2 linked regions of the Lepisosteus oculatus genome follow. The protein of the gene in region 2 purifies or fractionates together with the protein of the main gene of each other region. This does not show direct contact. Links are inferred from orthologs where the notes say so. Each region holds a gene or a part of one and is shown on either strand. Other genes may lie near its edges.

Region 1 (16,124 bases), on a different chromosome or scaffold from region 2:
ATCCCATAGGGACCACTTGATTACTTTGCAGCTTGTCACCCTATCAAGCGGCTATGATTGCTCACTCTAAAAATAGATTGTGTACATAGATTTACAGAGAGATTTAAAAGGCACCCCAAACCCATGCACCAGCTCTGGCCAATTTGCAAAGCTGCTCGTCTTTCATAAGTTTGGAAGCTGCCACGCTCCAGATGATTCTTTGACAGTCTAGAGGACACATGTGAAAAAAGATCACGTTTCAATATAACCAAAATTACTGCTCTGATAGATTCTTGGTGCGTGTGATGTCCTCTTATATTCCACAGACTACAAAGTGACAGCACGTACACAGCATCCCAACATTGTGAACTGGATACTGGTATTTCATTGTTTCATAGCCACTTGTCACTAAATATGCCCATCATCATGGCTGTTTTGATGGTGCTTTACTGATTTCTTTCACGCCTCTCATTTTACAGTTTTTTGCTGAAAACATTACATTAATGCTAACATTACTGTTGCTACTTTGTTGTACCAAAAGCTGTGTCAGGTCTTGAAAAGGATGCATATTATTTCCTAGATGTATTAAACAACACTGAAATCCCTGAACACTGAAAAAATTTCAGAATGCTGACGTTCTGAAATTATTTTGGCCCATGCCTTTTTTTTTATAAGAACTGAGTGTGGATGTAAAAAGGATTTAACAAATTATACAATGTTCTAAAATAAGAATGAAATAAGAATAAATAAAAAAAACAACACATTCCTTCAGCTTTTCTGAAGCTATTACTTTTCCACATATGACTTTATACCTGTAATGAAAGGTGAGTATCCTCTTTCCAGTTTAATGATGGAATCTACACAGGTTTGCGTGGCAATTGAAATAGCCTCTGTCTCATGTCAGCACCTTCTTACCTGGTTCAGGTATTGAGCAGTTTTCCAACAAAACCAGTTACAGTTCCAGGGTTTCTCTGGGGCTCACTGTTCTGCTGGCTGGTGCCTTATCCTCCAGGTCCATCTGGGCTGGGAGTGACTGAGTCTCCTCTAAAGTACTCCGAGGGAGGGGATCACCAAATAATTTGGCAACAAAAGCAGTGATGTCACAGAGTAAGTATTTAAAGTCCTGTTTGCAGACAACAAAGCAAGCCAAGGATTTCTGTGAGGGGATTTTTCGGGGGATTTTGGATATTGAGTTTGTATTTATTGGAATTTTAGCCCCTTGGGGAACTTATTTCTTTTGATGATGTAGATTAAGTCAAATCAACTCTATCAATAATATAATACGCCTTAGTCTATCCTGTACAATATTATATGTTACGTTTTATAGTTCAATGTTTTCTATAAAACTATAGGTACTATAACATTCACAAACATCACATTGGAGTTTTCTAGTGTTTATAGTGGTTTTTGATACTATTAGCACTCACTGCAATGCATTATGTTTGACTAAACCATGACTGACTTTAATATTTAAGCAATTCTTGCTTCTAACCACTAACTAAGCTTTACGTTGTTTTTCTCAGATATCTTTCTTTGCTTTTCTGAATCAGTGGTTACCATATACATGTTTCTGGGCAATGTGCTGTATTTACACAATGGCGAATCTTCAATTGCAGAATAATTCTAAGTGAAAATAACAAGTACAATTATTTGCCAAAACTCACTGTATTTTTAGCATTTTTTCAAAGTTTGCATTTACCTGATTTACCAGCAGAAACAGGATAGACACATTTTATCAACGATACAAATTAACTGCTGAAGATAATGGCTGCATGCTAGGCTAATTACTGTATTCCAGACACAACCATGCTTGATCCTGGACGTCGATTCTGATGCAACCACTGGGATATGATGACTCTGACCTCATTAGCAGGGAGACTGAACATTTGTCCAGTTGTGATAGATGGAAGCTGCCCAGTGGACAGTGGTGAAAGTAATGCACTTCATGACATCCGGATCGACAGCATCTTGTACGAAGCAACAGAGTGGCACGGTTGTCCTGAGTACCTGGAAAATTGATTTAATACGGCAAGTGGACAAGTGGTGGATATGGGGGAGAATACTCTAATTTATAAATGTACAGTATCTAAGGAGTGCACCACAAGAAGACATAAAGACCTATTCTCTGTTTTGTGCCTTGATTCCATTAAATTCCATTGAATTAAATTGTGAGCACAGTTACTCCAGATGGAGGATACTGTAGATACTGGATGAGCCTTTTCCAGGTCCTTCTGTTTCGACTGAAGGATGAAGGTGTAATGAAAAGTGAAACTTTTATCCTGGCACTTACCACGAAGCAGGATACACCAGAGAGGAGACGGAAATGTTAAACGTTGCAGCGGACAATGTGTTTTCTTCCTTTCATTCTGCTCTTCAAAAGAAGAATGTCTTTGTGGATAATATATTTAGTTAATATACTAATGTATTTAGTTATTATGTGATTAATGTATGATCTAAAATACAGCTGTTTGATGTCCAGAAATGAATATGCCGAGTGTAGATCAATTTTCAAGCACTACCATTGAAGTGGCTTTTTTAGGGGCAGAAAATCAGAACTATACATATTTAATATTGTCCAAACCTGGTAATTATATAGGAGGTTGGGAGCCCAGTATTTCCTGGTATCACTACAATATTCATTCCATTGCTAATACAATCATCTAGTCAACATCTAAGAGTGTTTATGAGGACTAAATGGAGTGGGGGTGATCACATATGGTTGGGATATTTTCAAATAAAAGCCTAAATAAGATACCTGCAATACAGAAATCATTATGCGTTATGATTATATTCTCCTAATAACCACAGTTTACAAATTAAAAATATGGAGAACATTTAAAATGTTAGCCCATACCATTGTTTTGTCATTTTGTGTATAGAAGACATTTTGCACACTCATGCCAAATCTTATTGAACAGTGGGACAGTTTTCTATAGGGCTGTAAAACTTGAACAACTATGGGCTCAGTTATCTGCTATGCTGTAGTAGTGGAAAGAGAGCAGTTGGATCAGTGTTGTTAGATCAGTGAAAATTGAATTGCCTTTTATACATTTTATTTCCTAGATATCACTGTATCCTCCCTCTTTACGATTATTTCCTGCTCAGTTACTATTGTGTTTCTTAACAATTCTTGAGAAGGGCTACACTCTAACCTTCTCCTAAATTCCCACAGCAGTCACTGCTTCATACCTCACATACTGTAGCCACTCTGTTCTAAATATAAAGCTACATTCACTATCCTAAATTTCATATGGGAATAAACATCCAGTGTGGCATGAGACTGGAGCTGATACAGTATGAGCCTGTTTTCCTCATATTTTCCTCAAATGTTGACATATTGTACAATATGAATTTGTCCATATTATTTTCTAGTATTCTTGGACACATTTCTAGGGTACAGTGCTTCAACTGAACTGCTATATGAGTCACTATTGACACTCACATTTTAACACTCCTACCAAAGAACAAATTAGGTTCTTGCTACAAAGAAAAGAAAGAAGTACGTGGTTTTTCATTTCTTTTTCGGTAGATCCCACTCCTTGAGTGACTGGAGTGACTCAGGTCACGATTTTAACCAAAATATGAGTTCAAAGTGACAGGTCATATAACCTTCTGCCATTATGTTGAAGGTATTGCAGCTCAGATGTTTTGTGTGTGTTCAACAAGAAAATGCAAAATGCAGAGGTGGGGTCTTAGTGTCCCAGATCTTTAAGCACCTCTTTGGATAGGCAGACAAGAGCTCTGCTTTAGGAACCAGTGTGGAAGCAAAATTCGATGCACCCTTGCAACTTCAGTGCTGTTTCTGTTTGCTGAATGAAAGCCAACAAAGTAGATCATCAGAGTGCAGAAATGTTTCCTGTATTAATCTTCATCTTATGGTAAACATTCCATATGGTGAACATTTATGTTCTGTGTCAAATTAGCTGTATATATTTGCATTTAACAAGCTGAAATATAAGGATGTTTTCTAGAATCCTTGCAATATGACCTCCTTGCAAAACCTTGCCTGCAACCGAGTCCTTCCAGGCTATTTGCCACCTTTAACAGCTGTGAACACTAGTATTGCTCAGCTATTACTCAAAATAGACATTGCTAGATTATTCCATATCAAAGATTCTTATAAGGCACGTCTACTTAGACCCTATTTTTTGTCTTTCCTCCCTCATCCAAATGTTCTACAGAGCCCAGCTTTCTTAAATGGTTAAAGTAAGTTAATATTGGTTAACTATAATTAATAGAAACACTTTAGTAGGATTTCATAATGGATTGTATAAATCAATGATATGCTATCAAGTACGACAATTTCACAAAACTGTAGTTCTGTACAAGTTTGGCCGTTTGTTCTTTGCCTTAGTGATTTCAATGTATGAAAAACAAGTTGCATTTTATATTTAAGGTTTTAATTTCACCAGTTGGATGCAGTAGTTTAACTTCTGGGTCACAAACACCTGCATTTTGGACCCTAACATGTAGAAAACTGAATAGAGTACCAGATGGTCATCAAATGAACAGAGAACCAGACGTCATGTTGTTTGCATATCTTGCTGTAAATCTAATAACCTCACCCTTACCATATATGCTGTACACAAGATGCTGTGTTTATTGCAATTCATCAAAATGAGTGTACAGGAAGGCCTGAAAATGATTAATGTTAGGATAAAGCATCAGTGCCAGTAGAAGGACTTTGTGTAAAGGTCTAAAACATATAACTCATCTCCTGTCTGCTGGAAGTGGGGTCTTGTTAAAGGGATTGCAGGTTAAAAAATTTCCTCATGCTTTTCATTCTTAGTGATGATTCTAGAGGGCACTATATAAGCAATCAGTGCTATTTAAAAAACAGGTCAGATTTCTCAGGAGCATTCTGTTTCATGCGATTAAAATATAGAGATTCCAGTGTAGATCTGCCTTGGCTACAAGGTTGAAATAACAGAGCTTTGAATGCATACTGCAATGATACACCTTACAGTTGAAAAATCCCAACCGGGATGAAGGAGGCCATGGAAAATTACAGACATTTCGAACAGGTGCCTTCAGTTACAGCGCCACTGGAGGGTGCAGGTTTGTCAGTTATGGTAAAAACTAAGGGTTTAAACTAAAGTGTCTGTCCCAGCTGCACTGGATATTGATCTTATTCTGTCAGCTCTGTCAGCTTTAACCTTTGCTGGCTCAATGCCTCTAATTGGTCACTTTCTGTTTATAAAAGGAAATGGCAAATTTAATTGCTGCTCACAAAGGTGTCGTGTTGTATGACGGAGGTTTAAGGGAAGACGTATTTTTAACGTTAAACTAGCTTCCACGGGTCAGTCATGTGCGCTGTTGGTCTTGGCCGTGATAAGTTTCCAGACAGAGAGGGCAGGCCAACAATGTGTCAACTAAGCCACTTGACATTGCTGGACAGGTGGTTTTCAAAATTTGTTATTAAACACTGTGCCGCGTCGTTTGATCCTGGTTCAGCAGCCAGTCATACAATATCACGAAAAAAAGCCCTCAAACAATCAGCAGACTATAACAGACAGGGATGAGTGCAGAATGCAGAGGTTGGATATAGTCTAATTGATTCCCCTCAGACATACAGCTTAAAGCTTGCCGCCATAGGCTAAATTCTTCTTTGCTCTTGATGATTGATCTAAGGTGCTGAAACTAAAGTTGATCTCTGTTTTCACATTGACACCAGCTAACTCACTGCCCTCCCCAAGCCTTCCACGTTAACATAAATAAATACCAAAAAGGTGATAAATACCTAGCAGTGTGCTGGACAGCAAGGCAAGTCTCTTTTTTATTTACACTTAAGGGAACTTCAGTTGTGGTTGCATTACTAATACAGATATGAGACTCATATTTAAAATTTACGTGAACCTTAAGCGTTCATCAGCCTTACAAGAATGAACAAAGCTTTCGGTGATTAAAATCGCCACACAGCGGGAAGCCAGCTGTACTGTAGTGGGAGTGGAAACAATCTACCTTTCTTTCTCCCAAAAGTGTTTCTAAAGGAAATTCTTCCATATTTTCTTTTCAAGTTCGATAGTCTTACTATTTCAATTCATGATTATTTGATTTGGGTTGTTTCACAGGATTGATGCCCTGAAGCCAGGCTACAATACCAAAGGTAAATCTGATTTAGATGAAGGTACCAATAAAAAAGGCTTGCAGTGACTGATAAATGTTCACCTGTCACAACAACAATGTACTTTTTAGATCAAATTACAGTTCTGTGACAGTGCCCACATATTTATACCCCTCTTCTCTTTCAACCTGCTGACCATAAATTCTCAGTTATTAACTTTACCAGAGTCTTTTCCACATTTAAGTAGAAGAATGAACTTAAAGGGACACTATTCTGCAAAGACATCAATTTCCCTTTGAAATGCCACTGTTTCATGTGTCCACAGAAACTGTGCCATCAGGGTATTTTATGAAAAGATTTTCAGCACTAGTATTCCAATAATGTAGGTGGAGTGGTGGCTCTGTGGCTAAGGATCTGTGCCTGTGGCTGGAAAATTGCCGGTTCAAATCCCTTAGCTGGCAGAGGAATCCTACTCTGTTGGGCCCCTGAGCAAGGCCCTTAACCCCAACTCCTTCAGGGGTGCTGTATAACGGCTGACCCTATGCTCTGACCCCAAGCTTCTCTCTCCCTGTTTGTGTTTCATGAAGAGCAAGCTGGGGTATATGAAAAGAGTAATTCCTAATGCAAGAAATTGTATAGGGCTAATAAAGTGATGTTATGTTATAAAGTTTTTGTATATAATTTGGACACTACTGGAGAAATTACCGATCTTTGAGGGGCTCCTATGGCCCTAAAGTCACAATATGTACCATTAAGTGCTTCAGATTGAACCCAGTATACAAAAGTAAAAACAATGTTATATTTTATGCAGACAGTACACACCTTCTTGGGTACTAACCCCCGCTGTTAGTGGAATATGTCATAAACATGTTCAGAAACTTTACTGTGCAATAAAAGCAGACTGTGAAAGAATTTAGAGAACACTTTTAAGGGTTTCCTCTTTTTCGGCAGGCAATCTGGGAGAGAGGGAGTTTAGTATCTATTTGTTAGACCAATGAGACCAATGAGAAACTTTCCGGGAACACATCCAGAATGTTAAAACCATTAATATAGAAGGCTTGTGCAGAAAGATCAGAGAGTAAGACAACAGGTGTTTGGTTTTACCACATTTGGCATGCAAACCCTTACTGATGGCTGTCCTTGACTTAAAAAAGCAGTAAGAACTCGTAGTCAAGGACAAGAACAATTCAGAGTGGTCTCAAATCACTGATGTGTACAGGATGTGTGTATGTCTCATGTACAGCAACTTTCTGTTTGAGACATGCACACATCATGTATTGATTAGTTTAACATGTTAAAGTTCTACCAAACTTATGTTTACTATTAAGAGCAATATAATTATTTTAATACATAAACAAAAAGCACGGCAAAACTGACTGCTGTCAGTTTTGTTATTAATCCTTCCAGCGATGGCTTTAACTGCCGCTAGGAACCATTTTCTTTTCTTCTGTTTCGTTCAGTGTTCAGTTCATTGTGGCACCATGGAGACATGCTTGGAAGAAGGCGTGAAACTACAGAAAAAGACTAAAGAGGAGAAAAAACTTTTAAGGAAGCAATTAAAAGCGAGCCATACATTACTAAAACATGAAGGCATTGACACAGTGTTGATACCAACAAAGGTGACACTATTTTTGTTGAAATAAAGCACTTGTAGTACACCGATCTTATGTTTAAGATACAGAACCTTAAAGATGTTTTTATAATTTATATAAAAATGTTTATATTGTATGTATGTCACGGATATGTATGTCACTTAAAAATGTAAATTGTATTGCGCTTAATGATGCTGTCATTAGCAGGTTTCGTTGCTTATTACGTACGCTGTTATTCATCAGTGACAGTTTGATCAAATCGTAACGCCAACCGAATGGAGTATCTTTGTTTCTTCCCCGAAATCGATTTAAAACTCAAATTAGCCCAAGCCTAAAAAGAAGGCGAATAGGTAAACGAATAGTCACTCTATTAGTACTCTTTCTGTGCAATTAACAACCACGTGTTTAAGAGAGCATTGTTTTTAAAACCTTAAGCATTTGGCGTTTTCATGCCTTGATGATCAAATGATTGAAAACAGTAATGAAACATCAAACGTGCGTAGTCGCTTTGCCCGGGGCCCGACAATGTAGGACGAAAGAAAGGCAAGTGAAGGGAAAACGATTGTGATTTCTCTTGTTTCAGAGCCTGGTGGTAGCTAACGGTGGGCTTGGCAATGGGATGAGCAGAGAGCAACTGCTAGAGGTGCTAGAACAGTGTGGCTCACTCAGGGCAGTACTCATGCCACCAAACAAGCCCTATGCCTTTGTAACTTACCAGTCCGTAGATGCTGCTCAGCTGGCGCACAAAACCCTCAATGGCAGACAGCTCGATACGGAGCACCAGCAAGTCACCCTGTACTTAAACTTTGTAGAGGAAGGTGAGCCGAGATGTTTGTTTGTTTGTTTGTTTGTTTGTTTGTTTGTTTGTTTTTTATTTGTTATTTTGGAAAGTAGCTGTGGCAAGATTGCGGAAAATTCAGTTACAGGTACATCTCTGACAGTCAGGGGAAATGTCGGGGTAAAAAGCCAGCTCAGGCTTGGTTTGTAGGGCAAAGGGAAGATAAGTCGAAATGTGGGCTGCCCTGCAGTGTTATTTATTAAGAGGGTTTGGTTTCAGGGTATCCCGTGTTACTGAAAAGAAGGAAGCTTTTTCCAAGGAATTGTTTTTTGAGCGCTAGGTAGGGCGGTTTCTGAACACAGGGGCAGTAAGGCTGTTACAGTATAGAAAATAATGCAGACAGGCATTGATTGAGGGACAGTCTAAAGCTGGAATTTAACAAAAAAATATTGTCCTTAATTCTATGCTTGTTGCAGTGTACAGTTTTAGAAATGGACTATGAAAAATGTTATTTTTCCAATAAACACAAGCCTTGGATGTCTGAATGTTTAATTATTTTATTTGTGAGGTTCTTATAATGAAGTTATAGTGCTCTTTTCATACTAACAGATTTGAGAGAACCTGAGGCCCACTTTTAGAGAATCAGTCCTACTTTTAACAATTTTATATTTTACCCATGGAAAGTGATGGAAAGTACAGAACCTGTTACAGCAACAGCATGTTGAGTGATGACTTGGAGATGTTTAATAATGAAAAGATCGTTTTGTTCAGTGATTTGCCACTTTTGTATCCTGACGTGTGTTTAGATCATCTTAATCTCAAAGGTTAATTGGAGGCAACCTTAATCGACAGTATGTGTGACAACATCAATGAGTAAGGTCTCAGTAACTTCACAGGAAATGCTTTAAGGATGCCCACCAGTGTCTCTCTCTGCAGTAGGAAGTGTGGTTTGGCAAGGACAGGAGCTGCCCCCTGGTCTGAAGGTGGTGGAGGAGTTTCTATCACCTGAGGAGGAAATGAGACTGCTGGGAGCCATTGACTGGGGTTCTCATAGCAACACAGACACTGGTGAGAGGTTCATAGCACTTTCTAAAGTCTTTCATAACAGTTACTTCAAAATCTAAATATACCTCTTTTGTGTACCTGTTTCTGCTAGTGAATTTGAATGGTTAGTAGTGCCTTAACTTCAATGTTTTGAAATATTTAAGAAATTGTAGATTTCAAAAAGTTAATAAAATCATAACAGGCCTTTGTGCCTTGATTTATAGCATTTCTGAAAATGTAGTAGTTTCTCGCATTTTAAATTCATTTAGTAATAATGGATATTAGATTGGTGTGGAATAATTTCTTTTCTCTTGCTGTTATAGCTCAGAAGGCTTTGAAACATAGGCAAGTAAAACACTATGGCTATGAATTTCGGTATGACAACAACAATGTGGACAAAAACAAACCTTTACCTGGAGGTAAGTACATTTGTATGAATTATTTTCTATAATTCAGTGATTTGATTTCACAGTTAAAAAATCCAGGTGAATTTAAATTGAGTGCCAGATACTGGGTTGAATACAAAGTTTTAGTTGTTTCTATAATGTTTTTTCTACCTCATCATTGTTGTAAATAGAATGTTTGTGGTGCTGCTTGTTTTTCAGGCCTGCCCATGTTTTGCAATGAAGTGTTAGACAGATGTCTGAAAGAGAATCTCATAAAGGTCAAACCTGACCAGCTCACAGTAAATCAGTACCAGCCAGGACAAGGTAGGCTGTGGTGCACTAACACTGATTCAACACAAGAGGGCAGCAAAGACCTTTTGTATAAAATACCAGCTATCAGTGGGGAGGAGAACAGAGTGATGAAACCAGTTCTGAGATGGGGATTATTATGGTAAAGGCCATGGGGAATTTTGTTCAGGAGATTGGGGTAACACCTGTACTCTTTTCACGAAACATCCTGAGATTTCTAATGACCATGGAAAGTCAGGACATTTTTTTGTCCGAAGCACGGCGCCTTTTTTACAATATAGTGTCCACATCACTATATGGTGGTAACAGGACCCACATAGAGTGCAGGGTGAGCACCCCCTACTAGTCCCACTTCTTTCAGCAGTAATTTTAGGTTTCCCAGGAGGTCTCCCATCCAGGTGCTGGCCAGGCTCACACCTGCTGAGCTTCAGTGGGCTGCCAGTTGTGCCTTTTTTGGTGCACTTATTTGTATTTTCAACTTTCCAGTAACAAAACAACATTTCTTCAAAGGCACATTTAAAGGGAAAAACAGACCCAAAGTCACAGAACCCCAGAGACACAAAATGTTTCAGGTGTTTCAAGGAGCCTTTTTCAGGTGTTACAACCTTCACAGACCCGAAGAAGGCTCCACAGCTGAAATGCTGTCACTTTTATTTACTTTCAGCATGGAATTAACCTTTACCTGTTCCTTTGCTGCTTACACATACTGATGCAGCTACCTATTTTAATTTCTTCTACACCTCAAACAAGCAAAACCTCAGAGCACAAAATCTTCCATGTCCATAGAAGTCCATGATGGAAATTTTAATTATAAGCATCTCTTAATTAATGTTTTTTTATTAAAAATAATATTTTTTTGGGAAAAAAGAAGCTTCCATCTTTGTGATTAAATGGATAACATTTGATTTGCTGGGATACTGCAGACCTGAAAGGTGATACTCCAAGTGTATTGCAGCATCTCTATTGGAAATGGACCATATATTCTCTGCAGCATGAGGAGCTTGAGAATGTGTCAAAAGACAGATCCTTATTTGTTCTTGTTTGCTTCATAAGAGTGAATACAGGGTGTGTTGGTGTTTGAAAGAGCCATTTTTAATCATTGCTGTGTGTAGGAAATTAACAAATCATTCAGAACAGAAAGTTACAGAGATTATTTCAACACATATGCTTCATGTGTTGTAACAATTATTACTTTATTGTTGTGCTTGAGTTATGAGTTAGACTTTCTAATCATTTTGCAATCATGTTCTCATCAGAGAGTGGAACCTACTGTGCTGATTGCTCAGCATTACAGCTGAACTCTGCGGTACTGAAGAGAGCTTTTCATTGTCTACAATCTCAGTATGTCCACTATTAAGGAGCGGAAAAGAATAATGATTTCTGGGTTTATTTTGAATTGTTTAGCTGTAATCAGTGTCAGGTTTCTGATCTTTGTTTTTACTAAAGCATGAGGAGGTTATATGCATATTATATCCCAGATTAAATCACATGCAGTGCATACACGAAGACACATGGACTTAAGTGTTACATTGTTCTGCAAAATGTGATATTTTTTAAATATATGCTTTTATTTGTTTTTTGTTGTTTTTGACAGGTATTCCACCTCACATTGACACTCATTCTGCCTTTGAAGATACAATCATCTCATTAAGTCTTGGAGCGAAGGTACGCTATTTTTGTTTTTGGTGTGCAGTAATCCCATCAGCTATATGTTTATAAATGAGTTATTGCTTATATTGGATGTAGGAATTTCTTCATTTTTTTGCAAAACTGGGTTCTTCTAAAGCCATAAACCATTTTAAACTCTTTTGTTATTAGAAAGACTTGTGTATTAAGTGCAAATACAGTACAGTAGTATAGGATGGTATTTAAATGAATTTAATTAGGCCGCTAAATCAAATTTAAAGCTGGAGCCTGTGTGATGGTTTTTTAGAAAAGACCAGGATTATCTGATCAATGTCATATTCGGATACACAAAAATGTTTAGTTCTTCATCTTGATTTACCTTCTTCTACAATCTTCTATCTACTATACTAGTAATACTACTATTATACTATAATATACTAGATACTAACTGAACAGTACCAGCTATACTATGTTATACATTATACTCAGTCATAAATAGTTGATATAATCAAGGTATTTTGCCCATCTCACATTTAAGCTCTGTCAATTAATTTGATCCTAGAGCCCTTCATAAGAGTAAATTACCTATTACCACTCATTAATGAGTGAGAGAACCGAAACCTTTATGTTCTCTGTCAGGTTCTTTGATAGCATTATAGCAGTCTGAATCCGCAGGATTTGTGAGCAGTTAAACCAGAAAGTAGGAAGAAATTCTTTAGAATATGAAAGCCAAAGGCGATGTGGAGACTATAATGATGGAAAAAAGAAACGCAACACCCCCTCCTCCACACTATGGCCCTCCCATCTGCGTGGAACAGGCTGAAGAGTGACTCATCTGTGGAGAGGACCTGATGCCAATGCTGACGAGCCCATCGCAGCCTCTGTCTGGCCCAAGTCAGTTGGGTGTGATGTCTAGGAGGTGTGAGCAGAGGGCCTCTGATAGGTCGCCTTGCTCTAAGGCCAGCAGCATGGAGCCTCACTGTCCTGTCACTGATGTGGGCATTGTGTCTGCCAGCAGTTTCAGCAGCAGTACGGGTGGCAGATCTGAACCGATCTCTCAGATGGACCAGTCTGATGTGTCAGTCCTGCTCTGGTGTGGTCAGTCGAGGGCAACCGGATCTTGGACGGCCATCTGTCCTGCCAGTCTGCTGAAACCTTCTCTGCAGTCGGGATACAGTGGAGTGGCTTACTCATTAGTGTCTGGCAATGCTGGCACATGACATGCCTGCCTGCAGCTTGCCAGTGGCCCTCTCCCTTGCTTCTGGTGACATTCGAGGCATTATGGAAAACAAATTAACAACTTTTTGTGAAAATACATAAGCTATAACTATAGCATTCTCATTCCAGAAAATGTTGTTACTTTTTTCTATTAGTATATTTAAACTGCATGATCCTTTTAATGGCAGCAACTGAACTTTAGATGTGTGTTTTTTGCATTCTGAGTCTTTTAGATTAAGTCTGTTTTGTCTGGATGGGGACCAATGAAATCTGTTGAATTGTTTAAGCCCCATTCTAATTTCTCTTGGTAGTCTTTTGACATCCTTAAGGATCTTAAAAGACTGTTGTTGTTTATTAAAGAGATGTTTAAATCAGCCTCCCACTCATAGCTTGAGCTTGGAGACTTTCTTCGTCCAGTTCTTGAAAGATGATATAGTACACAGAAAACCTCATGCCCCTTTCCAAATCTACTAAAATGTTTATGTATTGCGATGAGTTAAAGACTTGACTTAATGTCTGAGTTGTTGATCACTCTAAAATAATCTAATAATGGTTAATAGACCAGTCTGAAGCATTGTAAACCATAAATCGCCAATCATTATTACAATTTTCAATTAGAGCCTCAGACTTTCTCCAGGTCATTTATTGAGTTATTTTTAAATTAACTCTTTTTGCTTCACTGTTAATGAGGAACTGTTGGCAGGGCAGATTAATTACAATTCACAGAGTTACTGGAACCTGAAACAGTGCTTTAGACACAAATCATTCAGTAGTCTTACTTCACTGGATGGATAGCAGGTGATTTCTCTCAAAGTAAATGTCAGACTCTGACAAGCTTTACTACAGTCCAGTGATTTACTGAGCTACTGATGAACTTTGTCCAGATCTTCCCTCTGAGCAGCGACTAAGGCAAAACATAGCCCCGGTTTGCAATAATAGGAACATTGCAAACTAGAACAAAAACAAAATGTCAACTTGGCAGTCTGCATGGAATTCAAACTAGATAGGGGTCGATTAGAAAAACACTTGAGTCGTTTCTTGTGCATGAAAATCGAAATAGGTGACACGAAGAGCTTCAAAAACAGATTAGTTTGTGAATGTCCCGATTTATATGTTTCACTTTTTCCATCAGGCTTTACAGAACATTTGTATGCTATGCAGCAAGGTCACCATCATTGTCCTGGAGGTGGAATTCACTCATTTGCTATAATGTGACTCATGGAAGCCTGCCTGCTCGAATTTTTATCTTGCAGTTTAAGTGACCTGTGGTTAGGCTTTTATTTATGCCTCTAGAGAACTCGGTGCTTTATTAGAGACTGTACATCCTGACCAACTGAACCTTAACGTCTCACTCAGGTGTGATGTTGTAATGACTTCGGCCCATGAGCTGGACCTGTGGCCAGTCTGGTGTTTCTCTCTAGTCCCCACAGCAGCCCTGACTATCTCTTGAATACCTGCTGTTCTCTTCACTCCCTCCTGGATCATTGATCAACCCGTTCCTCCTTGAGGGGTTTATGACTGGCATCTATATTCCATCTGTCAGCTTCGTTCTGTGGAATTTAACCTTCTCACTCTCCTTCATTCTTTTCCTTATGGTTGCTCTCTGTTGTTGCTGCTTACTTTTCTTGCTCTTGGTGGGATTTGCATTTCCTCTTTATCGCGTCCCTCCGTGGACTTTCCTGTTGATCCCCCGCCGTCTCATAATCCTTTCTGCGATCTAAAATCTGTCACTCTCTTTTCATCCTGGGTGGGTGGGGAACTAATGGAGTCAGAAATGAGCTCGCTGTGTTCCTCTCTGTCAGCTGCTCTCCGGGGGCTCGGCTGTAATAAAAGGCCTGGTTGTTGCTATGGTCCCTCTCCAGGTCCCTTGACTCAGTCCTAATGTGCAGGGAATACACCAACTTCTGTATTCATCTGGGACCCGTCCTCCTGTCAGTTCTGCTTGCTTTTCTCTCAAAGAGTTGCTTCCCACGTGGTAGAGAAAACAACCTAGTAGAGTGGTTTGACAGGCCGAAGGACATGCCTCATGGGACATTTTCAGTATGGTACTCTCTCACAGGGACAGTCTCGCTCAGCTGCTGCCTCTCCACTTGGAGTTTTCTTTTGGTATCTTTTCAAGCTTATTTCTGACTCACTGATGGGTGAGAACTCTGGGTGTGAGCCCACTGCAACTTGTTCCCGTTAATCCCCGATCTCTGACTGGGAACCCTTGAGGGGTCCTGATGTTTCCCTCCTCTGAACATTGATATCCTAACAGAGCCCTAGACTACTATCTCTGGTCCTTATTTGGCCATGAATGCTGTGCCATAACCGAGAAATGGCCTGCTTACTTACTTGGTGTCTGACTTTTCCGACAACCCTGATATAGGAGTGTTGGATCTTATGAGTAGCGAGTGTCTAAGCTCCTTCTGACCTGTTCTCTTAAACTCCTTTTAGTGAATACTATTACCTGGTAGCATGTTTGGAATTTCCCCAAGATAAATTTTCTCTCGAGATTCCACATGGAAATCCCTAGAGAAGCAGTACTGACAAGTACAGAATAATACAGATGATTTTGGCACCCCTCATTCATCTTTCAGCAGGGCTATAACCCTTGCCTACTAGTCTTCCATTTCAAATGTGTCCAGTATACTTATGGTCTCTCTATAACCCAGGGAACTGTGGAAACTGTTCAAACCAAGTGATTGCCAGTACTGAACATTGCTCTGTGTGTATGTCGGAATTCACCATGAAATTTTTGGATGAAGCTAGAGTAGAGGCTACATAACCTACTATGTTAAGGAAATTCATACAACCAAGATGGCACTCATCTTTTATTCATCACATATTTGGGTGCTCAGGTACTTTATATATCCATTTCTTTAATTAGCATTAAGAAAATGCTAAAAATATAGGGACCGAAATTTCCATCCGTTAAAAAACCACACATAGTGAAATGAAGTAATCATAATTGTCACACTGTGAAACACTGTATACCAGAATAAACAGGTTGCATTAGCTGAAACTTTCTCAGTCATGGGTATGCTCATAGGATTTGAAAACACTGAAATGTGAGATATTGAGACATCTTTCTGTATTCTCGTTGTATTAATTTTAGCATAGTTAAGAGAGTTGTGGACTTGTGCAAA
Region 2 (16,136 bases):
GCGAGTGGATAAGGTGAGGGGTGGAGCCAGAGGGGGCAGGTGGGAGGATAAGGTGGAGGGTGGGACCAGAGGAAGGAAGGTGGGGTTGGGGGTGGGGCCAGGTGAGACGCTAAGGAGAGGAGCTGGGTCAGATTAAGGATTGTAAGGAGAGAGGGAGGGGCGCAGGGTGGGGCAGAGATGGAGAGGAAGGAAGCAGTAGGAGATCGGGGCTTTTCCCCAGAGGCAGACAGGGGACCTAAAGTGCAAACCCCCCGTTTTCCCCTGCCGGCCCCCCGAAACCTCCCCACACCCGCTGGCTCTACCACTGCCTCCTTCTCTCTCTGCACAACAGCCAGAAGGAAGAGGAGAGAGACCCCCCCCCCCCAAATGAGAGACAAAGCCATACTGGACACCTGACCCCAGTGTCACCCTTCACTGAGGCAGCTGGATTGTTTGGGGAAGACAGACATGTGACCCCGAATGTGTGGGAGAACAAGGCCATAGGATATTCTTCAGGGAAGAGGCTGTTCCAGAGGAACGTCCGCAGACAGACAGACAGACAGACAGACAGACACATACTCACACTCAGAGCCAGAGAGACAGACAGGCACATCCTGACAGAGACAGACTGGCACATACTCACACTCAGAGCCAGAGAGACAGACAGGCACATCATCCTGACAGAGACAGACTGGCACATACTCACACTCAGAGCCAGAGAAACAGGCAAGTACTCACACTTAGAGAGAGAGACAGACGGGCCCATCCTGACGGAGACAGAGACAGACAGACTGGCACATCCTCACTCAGATTCAGATAGACAGACAGGCACATCCTCACAGACCCGGAGAGACAGACAGACAGACAGACGGACAGGCACATCCTCACACGCGGATTGAGGGACAGAGTGGGGTTCAGCGCCGACGCCGTGGCTCAGGGGAGCAGGACAGGACAGGACAGGGCAGTCCCGCGGCTCCTGCTGCTGTCCAAGCCATCGCACGGCCTTGCGGGGAGTGATACTGGCCTACTGCGCGTGCGCGGCTTGGCTGCTCATCCCAGCTCTCCGCCAGCAGGCCTGGGCCCCAGGCGAGGAATTCCAGCTTTAACAAAGACTGTTTTTCCAGAAGCAAAATAATGTATCTTTTTATATATACTGGGATAGGGAGAGTAGAGTAATTTATCGTGTAGGAATACGGTGTATTTGTGTCTAAGTGTGTGTGTGTGTGTTTTCTTCAGGGCGGTTGTGTCTCTGCAGCTGTGTATAATGTATACTAGTGTATAATGAGCCAGTGCTTCAGAAACTTCCCACGGGCAGATTTAAGAATGACTTTTTTTTTTTTGCTGTTTATTTTTTTTAAACTGTTTAGAATGCAAAACCTCCAGATTCCTTTTAAAACACAGGAGGAAGAGTCCGGACAGCCGCCCGAGAGCGCCCCCTGCAGTTCAGGGTGGAGGCAGCGCTGGGCTCCGGATCAGGGGGGTGGACAGCCCAGCCGGCGGGATTCCTGACAGCAGCCCGAGAGGCGCGCTGTGCTGCTGGTCGCACCCCCCCGACGCCCTTTGCGTAAAGACGGCAGGTCCCTTGTCCCAGCCTGGCCCCCCCGCAGGAGCCCGGGTTCGGGCTGGGGAGAGGCTGTTGTGTTTTCCCCCCCCAGTGTTTTCCAGAGCAATAATTTCCTTTGTCCCGCTGGCCTCGTCGCTGTAGGGTCAGGGTCCGGGACGCCCGGCCGGGCTGGGACGGCCCGCTGCAGAGTGGGGCAGCGTTTGGAGAGGTTCGGGTACTGAACCGGGAAGAGCACTCTGAGTTCGTCACGGGTTTGCGGTCTCGTCTCTGTCTAGCGTGTGCGTGTGCGTGTTACAAGAGCAATAACTCCTCTATACGTCACTGGTTTTACCTGCTATCGATCAATATGAGCAGTAGTAATAACGATCATTCTAATCCAGAGGGAAGCAGGGAAGAAGAAATTCAATAATTACCGTATGATGGGAGAGAAATGTATTTAAGAGCTGAAATCTATTTTTATTCCCCACGACCTCTCCGGGACTGGTCCCGCCTCCTGCTGGTGTCCCTGGGGTCAGGTGTGTTCCTGTGCTCCTCTGTATTTCTTTTTATAATAAAGCCACACGAGCGCACCGCTCCTCTGGTCTGGCGTGTTCTTGTGTGACGCGGCTCTCGACGGTAGGTGGAACTGACCCTGTGTCCACACACAGCTGTCCACTGTATCTGTCTCTGTCCACACCCACACCTGTCCACTGGACCTGTCTCTATCCACACCCACCTGTCCACTGGACCTGTCTCTATCCACACACACCTGTCCACTGGACCTGTCTCTGACCACACACCTGTCTCTGTCCACACACATACCTGTCTACTGTACTGGTCTCTATCCACACACACCTGTCCACTGGACCTGTCTCTGACCACACACACACCTGTCTACTGTGCCTGTCTCTGTCCACACACCTATCTCTGTACAGGATCTGTGCACCTGTTCCCTGTCCTTATCACATGTACCCTTGACGTACCCGTCCAGGTCAAGAAAGAGTGGAAGAAGACCTGAGGACACAGAGAAGCTGGTGGTCGAGTTTAACTTTTATTTTTTCTGTTTCACAGACTCGACATGTTTGTAGAACACGGGGTCTGTCTCAGTCCTACACTGGACAAAAAACTGAAATCAAATTTAAATCACAGCAAGACGGATGAAAATAAATAGTTTATAGCACAGCAGCTGACAGCAGTGCCCCTGTGTCTGGAGCGAGTTCATTCACAGGAGCAGGCTGGCCTGCCCAGAGGGGTCAAGGGTCAGTCTGGACCAGTGGCAGGGGTTTGTTCAGCCACCCCAGCGGGTGGCCCCTGTCCTAAATCAGCTAATCAATGAACTGACCAAGTCTGCCTCTGCAGATCATATAAGAGCCCAGCCCTGACCCCACTGGACACCCCAGTGCAGTGTGACCCCCAGCACTGACCCCACTGGACACCCCAGTGCAGTGTAACCCCCAGCACTGACCCCACTGGACACCCCAGTACAGTGTGAGCCCCAGCGCTGACCCCACTGGACACCTCAGTGCAGTGTGACCCCCAGCACTGACCCCACTGGACACCCCAATGCAGTGTAACCCCCAACACTGACCCCACTGGACACCCCAGTACAGTGTGAGCCCCAGCGCTGACCCCACTGGACACCTCAGTGCAGTGTGAGCCCCCCCAGCCCTGACTCCACTGGACACCCCAGTGCAGTGTGACCCCCAGCCCTGACCCCACTGGACACCCCAGTGCAGTGTGACCCCCCCAGCGCCGACCCCACTGGACACCCCAGGGCAGTGTGACCCCCAGCCCTGACCCAACTGGACACCCCAGTGCAGTGTGACCCCCCAGCACTGACCCCACTGGACACCCCAGTGCAGTGTCACACAGTGAAGAGCTGGTTCAGACACAGGGGCAGGGCTCGTGTCGGTAGCTGTGAACAGACGTATTCTCTCTAACTCTCATCCTCACTCAATAGCATGTTGGGGACCCCCTTGGTAATGGGGAACTGGTGTCCCGACTCTGGACACTGCAGGCTGCCCTCCATCACCTCCACCTGAGAGAGAGAGAGAGAGAGAGAGAGAGAGAGAGAGAGAGGTGGGGGTTACCCCTGGAAAACCAAGTTCTTTACAGCTTCCAAGATACATCTTTGGACAGTGAGAGGCAGGTGTGCAGGGGAGAGTGAGAGGGGAGAGTGAGAGGGGAGAGTGAGAGGCAGGTGTGCAGGGGAGAGTGAGAGGGGAGAGTGAGAGGCGGGTGTGCAGGGGAGAGTGAGAGGGGAGAGTGAGAGGCAGGTGTGCAGGGGAGAGTGAGAGGGGAGAGTGAGAGGCGGGTGTGCAGGGGGAGAGTGAGAGGCGGGTGTGCAGGGGGAGAGTGAGAGGGGAGAGTGAGAGGCAGGTGTGCAGGGGGAGAGTGAGAGGGGAGAGTGAGAGGCAGGTGTGCAGGGGAGAGTGAGAGGGGAGAGTGAGAGGCAGGTGTGCAGGGGGAGAGTGAGAGGCAGGTGTGCAGGGGGAGAGTGAGAGGGGAGAGTGAGAGGCAGGTGTGCAGGGGGAGAGTGAGAGGCAGGTGTGCAGGGGAGAGTGAGAGGGGAGAGTGCAGGGGGAGAGTGAGAGGCGGGTGTGCAGGGGAGAGTGAGAGGGGAGAGTGAGAGGCGGGTGTGCAGGGGGGAGTGAGAGGGGAGAGTGAGAGGCGGGTGTGCAGGGGAGAGTGAGAGGCGGGTGTGCAGGGGGAGAGTGAGAGGGGAGAGTGAGAGGCGGGTGTGCAGGGGAGAGTGAGAGGCGGGTGTGCAGGAGGAGAGTGAGAGGCGGGTGTGCAGGGGGAGAGTGAGAGGCGGGTGTGCAGGGGGAGAGTGAGAGGGGAGAGTGAGAGGCGGGTGTGCAGGGGGAGAGTGAGAGGGGAGAGTGAGAGGCGGGTGTGCAGGGGGAGAGTGAGAGGGGAGAGTGAGAGGCGGGTGTGCAGGGGAGAGTGAGAGGGGAGAGTGAGAGGCAGGTGTGCAGGGGAGAGTGAGAGGCGGGTGTGCAGGGGAGAGTGAGTGTGCGCAGTACCAGCTCACCTCCAGCAGCACGCGGTGGACCCTGCGCAGGAACTCCTCGTCCTTCTCGTGCTCAGGAGCCAGCTCGTTAGGAAGGTCGTTCAGGTGGCCCAGCTGGAGAGAGAGAAAGGAGGAGGGTCACAGCCCGGCCGCGGCCCCAGCGGTCTCTCCGAGACAGGACAGCTGACTCACGCTGTCGGCCGCCTGCACCAGCACCCCCCACTCCAGCTTGGGAATCATCCGGGACAGGAACTCCGGGTTAAACTCCACCTCACTGACCTGCACCTCCGTGGCCTGAGCAGGGAGACAGAGAGACAGAGAGACAGAGAGACTCGTTACTCAGACTCAACCCCATCACGGCACAATACACACAACGCACAACACAGCCTGGACACAGACACTGGACACAGGCAGACCTGGCTGCCCAGAGAGGACAGGCTCAGTGAGCACAGCCTGGACATAGAAACTGGACACAGGCAGACCTGGCTGTCTAGAGAGGACAGGCTGTGCTCCCACTGCCAACAGGGAGAAATGGAGACAGAGGTGCACTTCCTACTGCACTGTGACAGACACTCTGGAATTAGAGAAACATTCTTCCCGAAATTCAGAAATCTAATCCCAGAGTTCCCACACCTGACAGAATCACAACGGGTCCCAATTCTACTGGGAGAGGGAGGAGGGAACTCAATTGAACTGGCAGCCCAGTATGTGATCTCCTGTCCCAGCCTGAGGAACAGTGAGTCTGTCTCCCACCAATGCTCCAGATGTTTATATGTGAATATCTCATGACCGTGTCTTTATTGTAAATGTCTGTAGATTGTTGTTTTATGTGAACTGTATTTGTTTTGCTCTGGCAACACTGATTGTACTCACCGGTCATGCCAATAAAGCACCTGGAATTGAACTGAATCGATACACAGAGAGGCCCGTCAGGACAGAGAGACGCGCATGGAGGCAGATTCTGTCGTACACTTCACACTTTTAACAGCGCAGTGCTCGCTATATTGTCAGTCATTGTAAAGACTGTTAAAAGGTACAGTGGTTTAGTTAGGGCGCCATCGGTCATACTTATTTTAAACTTCTTTAACTGAAAAACACCCCCCCATAGTATCGGTCTGTAATGAACTGTCCTTGCGTGAACACATGCGCCCTAATGAGCAGGGGGTAATTAACAGCCTTACTTTAATCAGCAGCGGGTAGCCCTTGGTGACCCCCTTCACGTGCGAGGTCAGCATGTTGTGCGTGATGAGCTTCATCCCGAGACGGGGGCCGACACGCAGCGAGACACGCTGGAGGAACCGTGGGAGGCACACGCGCGGGATCAGCGTCCTGGTGTCGCTGTGGGGAAAAACTCACGCCGAGTCGAGAGGCCCACCGGTGGTGTTTGTGGTGGAAGCATGGACCGGAAGAAGCGGGAGCTGGTACAGCAGTAAAATACGTCCCCCAGGACGCACACGTTGCGGAACAACTGGTTCCGCCACAGAATGAGGAATCGAACGAACCCACGTTTTATGGTACAGATCACACGGCGTTGTTTTTCTTGACAACAACTCCCGCAGCTCGTCACTATGTTCAAGAATCACCCGGGGGATTTCTAAAGAGCCCTTACGGAGTGTGGTAAATACATTCCCGCTTCTCCATAGGGAACACGGTTTATTCCACGCTGTTTCGGCACACCTGTATGAAAGCCCCTTTCTATCGGGGAGTAAAAACAACGCGCTATGGCATCTCGCAATTGTGACTTTGTATCTCAGAATTGCGACTTTATATCTCAGAATTGTGACTTTGTATCTCGCAATTGCGACTTTTTATCTCACATTGGCGACTTCGAAATAGCCCACATTTCATTGTCTGTCCTTCTGTTATTGTACCGGATTCGGGTTCTGGGGCTCTGTGCCCCTCGCCGCTCCCGCCCTAGTTCGTGCCTCAGTTGAGTTGAGTTTTTAAGTGGCGATTCTGAAATAGACCTTCACCTGTTCCTTCTCATCCTGACCCAGTCTCTTACAGGAACTGATCCTCCCTCCGCCCGTTCCTGGCTGCTGTTGAAAAGATTCTCGAACAATGGTGCGCTTGGGTTTCAGTTACAGAGGAACTGGGAGGTTCCGTCAAGAGGCTGGGCTCTGACCCGACCTCTGGCTCAGTAACAGGGACAGGGGAGTGACCACCCGCATCAGAGCCTGTGGACAGCGCGTCTGTAAATACCGGGAGAGAATCTTCCAGTCGGGGTGACGTGTCCCCACTAGTCACGAACAGAGAAACAGGAGAGGAGAGGAGCCCCTCAGCCTGTCTGCTAACTGGTCCCCGGCTCTCATCCGGCTGACTCCTGAAAGACATCGGGGTGTCCTGTGGCACACACCTGTCCGTCTATGGACACGGCGGCTTGTTCCACACTCCCGCCACCCTCTGTGTACAGAAGGGCCTCCCGCTCCCAGGTTTGAAAACACCGCCCTGCTCTGCGTGGTGGGCCGCAGTTGAGTGGTACTAGTTTACGGACAAGAACGAGTCGGCCCAGAGGCGTGCAGGGGGACCGGTCAGCCCAGATTAACCCCAGACCCGCCAGGCTGTGTGTTAGAAAACACCGCAGGTGTAGCTGGACACCACCAGGCTGGCGGTGAAACGCGCGCCCGTGTGTTTGGGGGGGCACTCTGCGCCCACTGACCCACATAGAGAGCTCAGGGGCACCGCGTCTCTCCCCGCCGAGCCGGCGGCTCCAGTTTCACTTCCTCCTTCCTCCTCGGTCACCACGGCAACGGTCATCCGGGGCCGTTTATTTTCTCGCTGGCTCATCCTTCCAGGAAAGCGGGTCATTACATCACCACGGGGAGGCGGGGCTTATGACGCGGTCGCCAGGGCAACCGGCTCCGGGAATCCCAGCGCACCTGAGGGGAATTTGTAAAGCAGCGCAGGTGGGGAGCGGCGTCCGCAGGGTCAGGCTGCAAAGGGGACAAGAAACAGGTTTATTCCAGGTGGAGAAGAGAAGAGAGAAAACGCAACGTTTCTCTCACGCCTGAAGAAGGCCTCACAGCCGAAACGTTGTGTGTTCTCTCTTTTCCGCCTGGAATAAACCTGTTACTTGCTCGGGTGTTTGTGAAGCTGTTCCGGACGGACGTGCAGAGTTTTGTTTGCAGGCAGTCAAAGGTGCTTATTTAGATTTAAGGATTTCGATATTTTATGGTAATATGTAATAGAAACATTGGAAAAAGAGCATTGATTTATAGATACTTTATTGATCCCGTGAGGGAAATTGCAGTGCAACAGCAGCTTTACACAGACAACACAGCCGCAGTGTGACGAATGATACAATAATAATAATAATAATAATAATAATAATAGTACAACACATACAATACAATCAGTACAGTGAGGGGTGCACGAAAAGAGTTTCTCACAGTCTGGACACACAAAGAACAAACTAGAACAGAACAGTACACAGAAAAATCGTATCACACATATGAATATATAGATGTAAATATAAATGTATTGCTATGCATTATAGTAAATTTATTAGCCATTCTGGGTGAACTTCACAGTCACAACTCAAAGTGGTCTAATAGTACTCCCCTTTATAGTACTTTTGAGGTGGAGTTGAAACACTATTTAAATTCCATAAAAGATGTGAAAAATGCTAAAGCAAGGAGCACATTTGATTTTACACATCTGTAAAAAACACCCTCTGATCACGCAATTTACTTCATCCCCTCCGGCAGCTGACTGCTCCTGTTTCTTCCTCCTTGTTCCTGTTTCTGATCCTCTGGTTGGATTTGTAAATTCTTCATACGTTTAATACCATTTTTTAAAACAATTCCAGGCGTGTGAGGAGACAGGCGGGGGGGACCCCGGGTGTGTGGGGGAGACGTGGGGGGCTGCCTGTCGCCTTGCACGCCTGTCTGAACGAGAGGCCCGACGCGCCGGGGCCGCTGGATACCTGATCCGCGCGCAGTAATCGGACCCGGGTCCTGTTGTGGGTACAAACAGGCGCAGTGTGTACATCACACGGGCCTGCCGCTCCTCCCGAGAGGCCTGATGCAACTCTCGCACACCTGGTGGGGGTGGGCACCTGCTGCTGCCTGCCTGCCTGCCGGCACTGGGCCCCTCCTTCCGCCATGTTGGCTCCGGCGGTGGAGTACGGCCGGGCGCTGCGGCTCCGCAGCCGGAGCCAAAATGGCCGCCGGTTTCCAGTTCGCAGTTTGTCCCGTCACCAGGGGTGGACGCACTGTCTTCGCTAGCGAGTAGTTTCTCCTTCTTGTTGTCTTTCTGCTCCTCACGCCCCCCCCCCCCTCCTTTCCTCCCGCCTCCTCAGAGCCCAGATCCGCCGTCGCTATATATAGACGCGCACCTGCGGGGCAACATGATTCTCGCGTCGCTGGCCCGAGGAACGCTGCTCCTGCCCGCACGACGCCTCCACGCCTCTGCCGTCGCGAACATGCCCATCAAGGTAAGAGCCAGCCCGGCCTCTGCGGGACACGCACGGCCCCCCGCTCGGCGCCTGCGGGACACGGGCTGCGGGGGTTGGGGACCGGGGCTGCCGGCGGTGCAGGTCTCGGTGGGCGGCGGCGGTGTCGGGGCCGAGACTCCGCCAGACTTCTCCGGAGTCCCGACAGCTGACAACCCAGCCCTGAGCGCCGGGACGAGATGGGCGACGCCGAGCGCACGGTCCGCCCGGGCCTTCTTCATCCCGGCCGTGCTAATTAATGTCATATATATAATAATGTGACGCAGGGCGCCGCTTACACAACGCCGCTCCCACAGCACCACCCCCCCGCCCCGCCCCACCGCACACGGCTCCAGATTTCAACACGCAAAAAGAAGAAACTGATTTCTAAACGCGCCTGGCATCCGGCTCTGCGTTCCTGTTTCATCACGCGTGGAAGTGTTTCCTCATCTCGGAAACCTTTCATTTACTGGACGCGACCGTCTCCTTCCTCCTTTCTCCGCCGTGTGTCCCCTCCTATTCCTTCCCTCCTCCGCCGAGGCGCCGTGTCGCCCCTCCTGCCCGCAGGACGGCTAGCTCAGGGGCGCACCCCTCGCTGCGGGTGGGCGGCTTGTTCCCGGCACCCACCGCCCTCAGTGTAAAGGTGGCGTCGGTGCGCCCCAGTCCTGCCGCTCTGTGTCCGTCTCCTCACCCCCTCCTCCTCCTCCTCCTCCTCTCTCCCAGGTAGGAGACAAGCTGCCCGCAGTGGAGGTGCACGAGGGAGACCCGGGGTCGAAGGTCGCCATGGACCAGCTGTTCAAGGGGAAGAAGGGGGTCCTGTTCGCAGTGCCAGGGGCTTTCACCCCCGGCTGCTCCAAGGTACGGCCCAGAGCCCCCTCCCCTCTCTCTCTCTCAGTTCACTTCAAGGTGCTTCACTGGCATGACCTATGAGTACAATCCGCGTTGCCAGAGCGAAAGAAATACAACCTACAGACATTTACAATAAAGACATGGTCATAAAATATTTACAAACAGACATCTGGAGCATTACTGGGAGACAGGCTCACTATTCCTCAGGCTGGGACAGGAGATCACACACTGTATTATTATTATTGAGAGACAGGCTCACTATTCCTCAGGCTGGGACAGGAGATCACACACTGTATTATTATTATTGAGAGACAGGCTCACTATTCCTCAGGCTGGGACAGGAGATCACACACTGTATTATTATTATTGAGAGACAGGCTCACTGTTTGCTGTTATTTATCTTGGTTAGATATTCGGCTAGTGTGTATTGTCTGTTTAGGGTTCTGCAGGTAGGTTTCTACAGATCTCCATGTGCAGAGTTTCTCTGGGGTGAGTGTACCCCTGGTCTGTGAGGGGACCCCACACTTCCCTGCCGTATAGGGCAGTGGGTTGGAGTACACTCTGAAACACCTGGAGCCAGGTTCTTGCTGGTGGGTTGGTGTTGAAGAGCCTCCTCCTCATTCCCCTCTCCCCTGCCTGCAGACTCACCTGCCCGGCTTCATACAGCAGGCGGACCAGCTGCGCGCGCGGGGCATCCAGGAGGTGGCGTGTGTGTCCGTGAACGACGCCTTCGTGATGGAGGCCTGGGGCCGGGAGCACAGCGCCCAGGGCAAGGTGAGGGGAGGGGGTACTGTCACAGGGGCGAGGGGAGAGGAGGGGGTACTGTCACAGGGGCGAGGGGAGAGGAGGGGGGTACTGTCAGGGGGGCGAGGGCGCGAGAGGAGGGGGTACTGTCACAGGGGCGAGAGGAGGGGGTACTGTCACGGGGGCGAGGGCGCGAGAGGAGGGGGTACTGTCACAGGGGCGAGAGGAGGGGGTACTGTCACAGGGGCGAGGGCGAGAGGAGGGGGGTACTGTCGCGAGGGCGGGGGGAGAGGAGGGGGTACTGTCACAGGGGCGAGAGGAGGGGGGTACTGTCAGGGGGGCGAGGGCGTGAGAGGAGGGGGGTACTGTCAGGGGGGCGAGGGCGCGAGAGGAGGGGGGTACTGTCACAGGGGTGAGTGTGAAGGGAGGGGGGTACTGTCAGGGGGGCGAGAGGAGGGGGGTACTGTCAGGGGGGGAGGGGAGGGAGGTACTGTCGCGAGGGTGAAGGGAGGGGGGTACTGTCAGGGGGGCGAGGGGGAGAGGAGGAGGGGGGTACTGTCACGAGGGGGCGAGGGGGTACTGTCGCAGGAGTTTCTCGCTGACCCGCGGCCGTCTGTCTGTCCCTGCAGGTGCGGATGCTGGCTGACCCCACAGGCGCCTTCACCAGGGTGAGCAGCAGGGGGCGCCGGCGGGGGGGGGGGGGCAGGAATGGGGGGTATTTCGGCGTCTGTGAAGTTCTGATCTCTGAGCCGCTGGTTCTCTCTCTCTCAGGCGGTGGACCTGGTTCTGGACACTGAGCACTTCCTGGAGGTTCTGGGCAACCCGCGGTCCAAGAGGTGGGTCAGGGCTGGGCTGGGGGGCGCTCTGCGAGTCATTGACCAGTCCCCAGGGGCTCTCGCTGCTCTGTCCCCCCCGCTGACCAGTCCCCTGGGGTAGAGGGCAGCCTGTGGTGGCCTCCGCTGACCAGTTGGCGAGATGCCCTGGGTGTAGTGTGTGGGAGTGGGGACTGGACACAGCTGGACAGCGGGCGGGTCTGTGTCCACTGGGGGAGCAGCGTGTTGAAGTGGTCACTCTCTGCAGGGTGTGTGTGTCCGAGTGTTCACGGGCCGCAGTGTGACGCTCTGTGTGTGTCCCCGCAGGTACGTCATGCTGGTGGAGGACGGTGTGGTGCGGAAACTCAGCGTTGAACCGGACGGCACCGGCCTCACCTGCAGTCTGGCCTCCAACGTCCTGTCGGAGCTGCTGTGAGCCGGCCGGGCCTGTGGGCGTGGGCCAGCCAGGACCGGACTGGACCTCAGGCTCCCCAGTGCCTGGCGGCAGCCGGCTGACACCATCTCTCCCTCCAGGGGGCCAGGGTCGCTGCCCCTGCCTGTGTGTATCCTCTGTAGTGTTTCCCACGCTCAATAAAGCGCCTCAGTCTGGTGTTTGTGCCCGTGGGCTCGTGATGTTCCCCGCGCCAGCTCAGGGGCCTGTCCTGCCCGTTTCCCCTGGGGCAGTTGCTAGGAAACTAACCCATCCAAGAGCAGGCAGAGAAACATCCCTCTCTCTCCTGCAATCAAGGTGGGGAGGTTGTTCCACACTCCCACAACTCTTTGGGTAAAACCCTTCCTTTTGTTTGCAGTCTTCACAGTATGAGTGATGTGTGGGCGTCGGTGTCAGTTTATGCTGATGCTCACTGGGGGGACTGGGAGCCTGTGAGGCTTTTGACTCGAGCAGGTCCTGCTGAAAGGTCGGCTGTCATTCTGCTGCAACAGCGACCGGCAACCACAGAGACAAAGACGCAGCCCTGTCTCAGTTAACGTCTCGGTCTCTTTCCTCTTTTCAACACGTTTCCCCATTCCTTCCTTTTCCAGTTCTTACCCACAGGCCCCGGAAGCTGTAAGTGTTGTGCCAACGCAGTGTTTTCGGTCTCTTTTATGAAGAAGGTAATACGACTGCGCTCTTTTTATAAGAGTCGTTACCTCCTGTAGCCCAGGGGGCGTAAGAACGTGGAGAGGGACAGTGCAGACAGCTGCAGCTCGTCCAGGAAAGAGCAGATTCTCAGCGGGAGGTTAAAGGAGTGTCCCAGCTGCAGCAGGAGAAGGAGGTGAACTGGTTGAGTCTTGTTCAGATAGTCTGATGGGAGTATTCACAGAATAAATTCCAGAACAAACTGGAACACAACTCCCCCCCCCCCCCCCCCAGGCTAGGGGCAATTGCACCTCACATGCAGGAAAGGAAACACTACTTTACAAGAAGGGTGGTGGGGGAGTGGAACAGGCTCACCAGACATGACATTGAAGCCGATGCCAGAAACCCCTGGATGAGATCTTGAACAGCCTGGAGGCCACAAGGCTGTTCCACACTCCCACCACTCTCTGTGTAAAGTACAGACCCTCCAGTTTTATAGATTCCTCCACAGATTCCAGGCTTCTTGGCTCAAAACTAAGAGGAGAGTGGGCCCCTGCAGGCAGGTAGGGCACTGCCTGGGATGAATCCCGCCCGGTTCTGGTCCGTGTCTGGCGCCGGGTTACAGCTTCTTCCTTGTGCCGAGTAAAACTGCGCCCCAACACCCCCCACCCCGCCCTGCACTCCGGGGGGGTGACGCCGTGCCCTTCTGCTTCAGTCTGTGTCCCAGTGCTGTCAACATGAGCCCCTCCACCACCTTAACCTGGGCTTGGGCCAGAACCGGGCCCACCGCCGAGGAAAGTGGGGCACAGCGGGGGTCCTGGTGGGGACCCAGGAGCATGAAACGGACCCCCCCCCACACTGCACCCCAGAGAGACGCCAGCAGCCTGCCTCCCAAGGGCACAGTTAGACTTTAAAATATTTTATTTCTTTTTTTAATCTGGTCTGGGTGATCAATGTACAGGTCATTCGTCCATTCGAAGCTGTGGTCACATGAGAGCACACCGCCGCTCGGGCCCCCCCCCACCCGAACGCGCTGGACAGGGGCGCCTCTCTGCCTGGCCGGGGGGGGGGGGAGGGAGAGGGTCATGGCACATGGACTCGCGCGCGGGGGGAAGGGGCCGAGCAGCACATTCACACACACACACATGCACACACATGGAGGGGACAGTGGGGGCTGGACACTGGCCACTCCGGGATCAGAGACGAGCACCCGCCAGCAGCTCCCACACCAGGGCCGGCCAGCAGGGCGGCGCCTCTGCAGTCCCCCTGGGGGGGGCGGGAGCCCCGCCCTGTGCAGCAGGGTTCTCCTTCCCCCTCACTCCTGGCTGTCCTCGGTGCGCCACTTCAAGAAGTCCTCCTTCCGCGCGTCCGGCTTGATCTGGTTCCGCATGCCGCCCAGCAGGTTGGAGGTCGCCTCCGTGGCGACGATGAGAGGGCGGACCACCGTGGGCGGGATCTGCCGCAGGACCCCGCCCACCGCCCCCGGCAGCCCCTTCTGCTCGTGACCCCGCGACGCCATGACGCAGATGGTCTGCGCCGTGTCTATCACCCCCTGCAGGGAGAGAGGGGTGAATACAGGCCTGCAGCAGCCAGAGACAGGCGGGGGAATGAGAGACAGGCAGGCAGACAAGTGGGAGAGAGAAAGAAACAGGCAGACAGGCGGGAGAGAGAGAGAGACAGGCAGGAGAGAGAGAAACGGACAGACAGGTGGGAGAGAGAGAGAGGAGAGAGACAGGCAGACAGGCGGGAGAGAGAGAGAGACAGGCAGGAGAGAGAGAAACGGACAGACAGGCGTGAGAGAGAGAGACAGGCAGACAGACAGGCAGGCAGGAGAGAGAGAAACGGACAGACAGGTGGGAGAGAGAGAGAGGAGAGAGACAGGCAGACAGGCGGGAGAGAGAGAGAGAGACAGGCAGGAGAGAGAGAAACGGACAGACAGGCAGGAGAGAGAGAAACGGACAGACAGGCGGGAGAGAGAGACAGAGAGACAGGGCAGAGACGGGGTGAGGGACAGGTAGCAGCCCTGCCGGCCAGCAGTCTTACCTCGCGGACAGTGTCGTAGGCCTTGGCGACACCCTCACGCAGGTCAGCAGGCTGGGCTGGCCGGCGGTGGGCGTGGCGCCGGTCCGACAGGGCCCGACACAGAGGCGGCGCAGGGGACAGGATGTCGTACACGGTCTCCGCTGTGGCCTGGGGAGAGGGGCACGCCTGTCGCTCAGCAGGGGCAGGCTGGGTGGGAGGCACAGTGGAGGGCGGGGCTCTGGAGAGGCGGGACAGGGCAGGATGGGCAGGGCTCTGGGTGGACAGGGCAGGACAGGGTGGGAGGGGCACGGCCCAGGGCAGGGTTCTGGGCGGGGCAGGGTGAGGGTGGGGGCGTGGCACAGTGGAGGGTGGGGCTCTGGGTGGGAGGGTCAGGGTGGGGGTGGGGCTCTGGGTGGGAGTGGCACAGTGGAAGGTGGGGCTCTGGGTGGGTGGGGCAGGTTGTGGGCGTGGCACACTGGAGGGTGGGGCTCTGGGCAGGGTGGAGCAGGGTGGGTGTGGCACAGTGGAGGGTGGGGCTCTTGGTGGCAGGGTCAGGGTGGGGGTGGCACAGTGGAGGGTGGGGCTCTTGGTGGGTGGGGCAGGGTGGGGGTGGCACAGTGGAGGGTGGGGCTCTTGGTGGGTGGGGCAGGGTGGGGGTGGCACAGTGGAGGGTGGGGCTCTTGGTGGGTGGGGCAGGGTGGGGGTGGCACAGTGGAGGGCGGGGCATGGTGGAGTGGGCGTGGCACGGTGGAGGGCGGGGCGTACCTGAATGGCCTGCACCAGCCTGTTGCTCAGCTCCAGCGCAGCGGAGGCCGTGGAGGTGCCGAAGGAGGCCGCCCCCCGCTGGAGGCCGCGGATAATGCGCCCGTCCCGGCGGTACTGCTCTATGGGCATCCAGAAGAGGTCCCGCACCCCGTGGACTGCAGGCACAGCGAGAGGAGGACAGGGCGTCAGGCGGGCCGGGCCGCAGCGGGCCGGGCCGGAACGCGGCCGCCGAGGTCACTTCCTGTACTCACACAGCTGCACCACCGAGTGCATGGGGCCCACTCCTCCCAGAATCCCCGGCAGCTGGTTCTTGCGGATGTCCGTCAGCCACTCGTTAATGGCGTAATTAATCACCTTCTCCACCCCCAGCAGCCTGAGGGCCAGAGAGAGAGGGGGGTTGTCAGAGGGGAGAGAGACACACGGGGGGCAGGAGAGGAGAGAGACGGGGGGTAGGCTGAGGCGTCTCCACTGACCCGTGTCGGCAGCACAGTCTCTTCAGTTTCAGCTCAGAGCAGTTGAGCTGGGCTAAACCGATCAGGATCCCCGCAAACGTGCCCTGAGAGAGACAGACAGGCCCTGAGTCACACAGACAGAGACACAGGCCCTGAGACAGGCCCCGAGACACACAGACAGGCAGACAGACAGGCCCTGAGTCACACAGACAGAGACACAGGCCCTGAGACAGGCCCTGAGTCACACAGACAGGTAGACAGACAGGCCATGAGACACACAGACAGGTAGACAGACAGGCCCTGAGTCACACAGACAGGTAGACAGACAGGCCCTGAGACACACAGACAGGCAGGCAGACAGACAGGCCCTGAGACAGGCCCTGAGTCACACAGACAGGTAGACAGACAGGCCCTGAGACACACAGACAGGCAGACAGACAGGCCCTG

Evidence for each region.
Region 1: the proteins of trmt112 (region 2) and alkbh8 purify together in Homo sapiens (co-immunoprecipitation; 3 studies listed by IntAct, with this or other methods). This does not show direct contact. The link is inferred for Lepisosteus oculatus from reciprocal best matches to the Homo sapiens genes TRMT112 and ALKBH8.

Annotation. Positions count from the first base shown.
Region 1 is NC_090700.1:10,188,061-10,204,184, forward strand, and holds the start of alkbh8 (alkylated DNA repair protein alkB homolog 8), read left to right. Parts: upstream 1-7,498; 5' UTR 7,499-7,524; coding exon 7,525-7,662; intron 7,663-8,218; coding exon 8,219-8,453; intron 8,454-9,349; coding exon 9,350-9,481; intron 9,482-9,780; coding exon 9,781-9,876; intron 9,877-10,062; coding exon 10,063-10,167; intron 10,168-11,746; coding exon 11,747-11,817; intron 11,818-16,124.
Region 2 is NC_090713.1:23,015,348-23,031,483, reverse strand, and holds trmt112 (multifunctional methyltransferase subunit TRM112-like protein), read right to left. Parts: upstream 5,946-16,136; 5' UTR 5,792-5,945; coding exon 5,717-5,791; intron 4,830-5,716; coding exon 4,728-4,829; intron 4,650-4,727; coding exon 4,557-4,649; intron 3,561-4,556; coding exon 3,459-3,560; 3' UTR 2,555-3,458; downstream 1-2,554. Other genes in the region: prdx5 (peroxiredoxin-5, mitochondrial), read left to right, coding at 6,902-6,967, 8,836-8,970, 9,691-9,825, 10,459-10,590, 11,190-11,228, 11,332-11,396, 11,700-11,808; atg2a (autophagy-related protein 2 homolog A), read right to left, coding at 13,766-14,002, 14,494-14,640, 15,238-15,392, 15,489-15,610, 15,711-15,793. UniProt on the Homo sapiens protein: Acts as an activator of both rRNA/tRNA and protein methyltransferases. Together with methyltransferase BUD23, methylates the N(7) position of a guanine in 18S rRNA.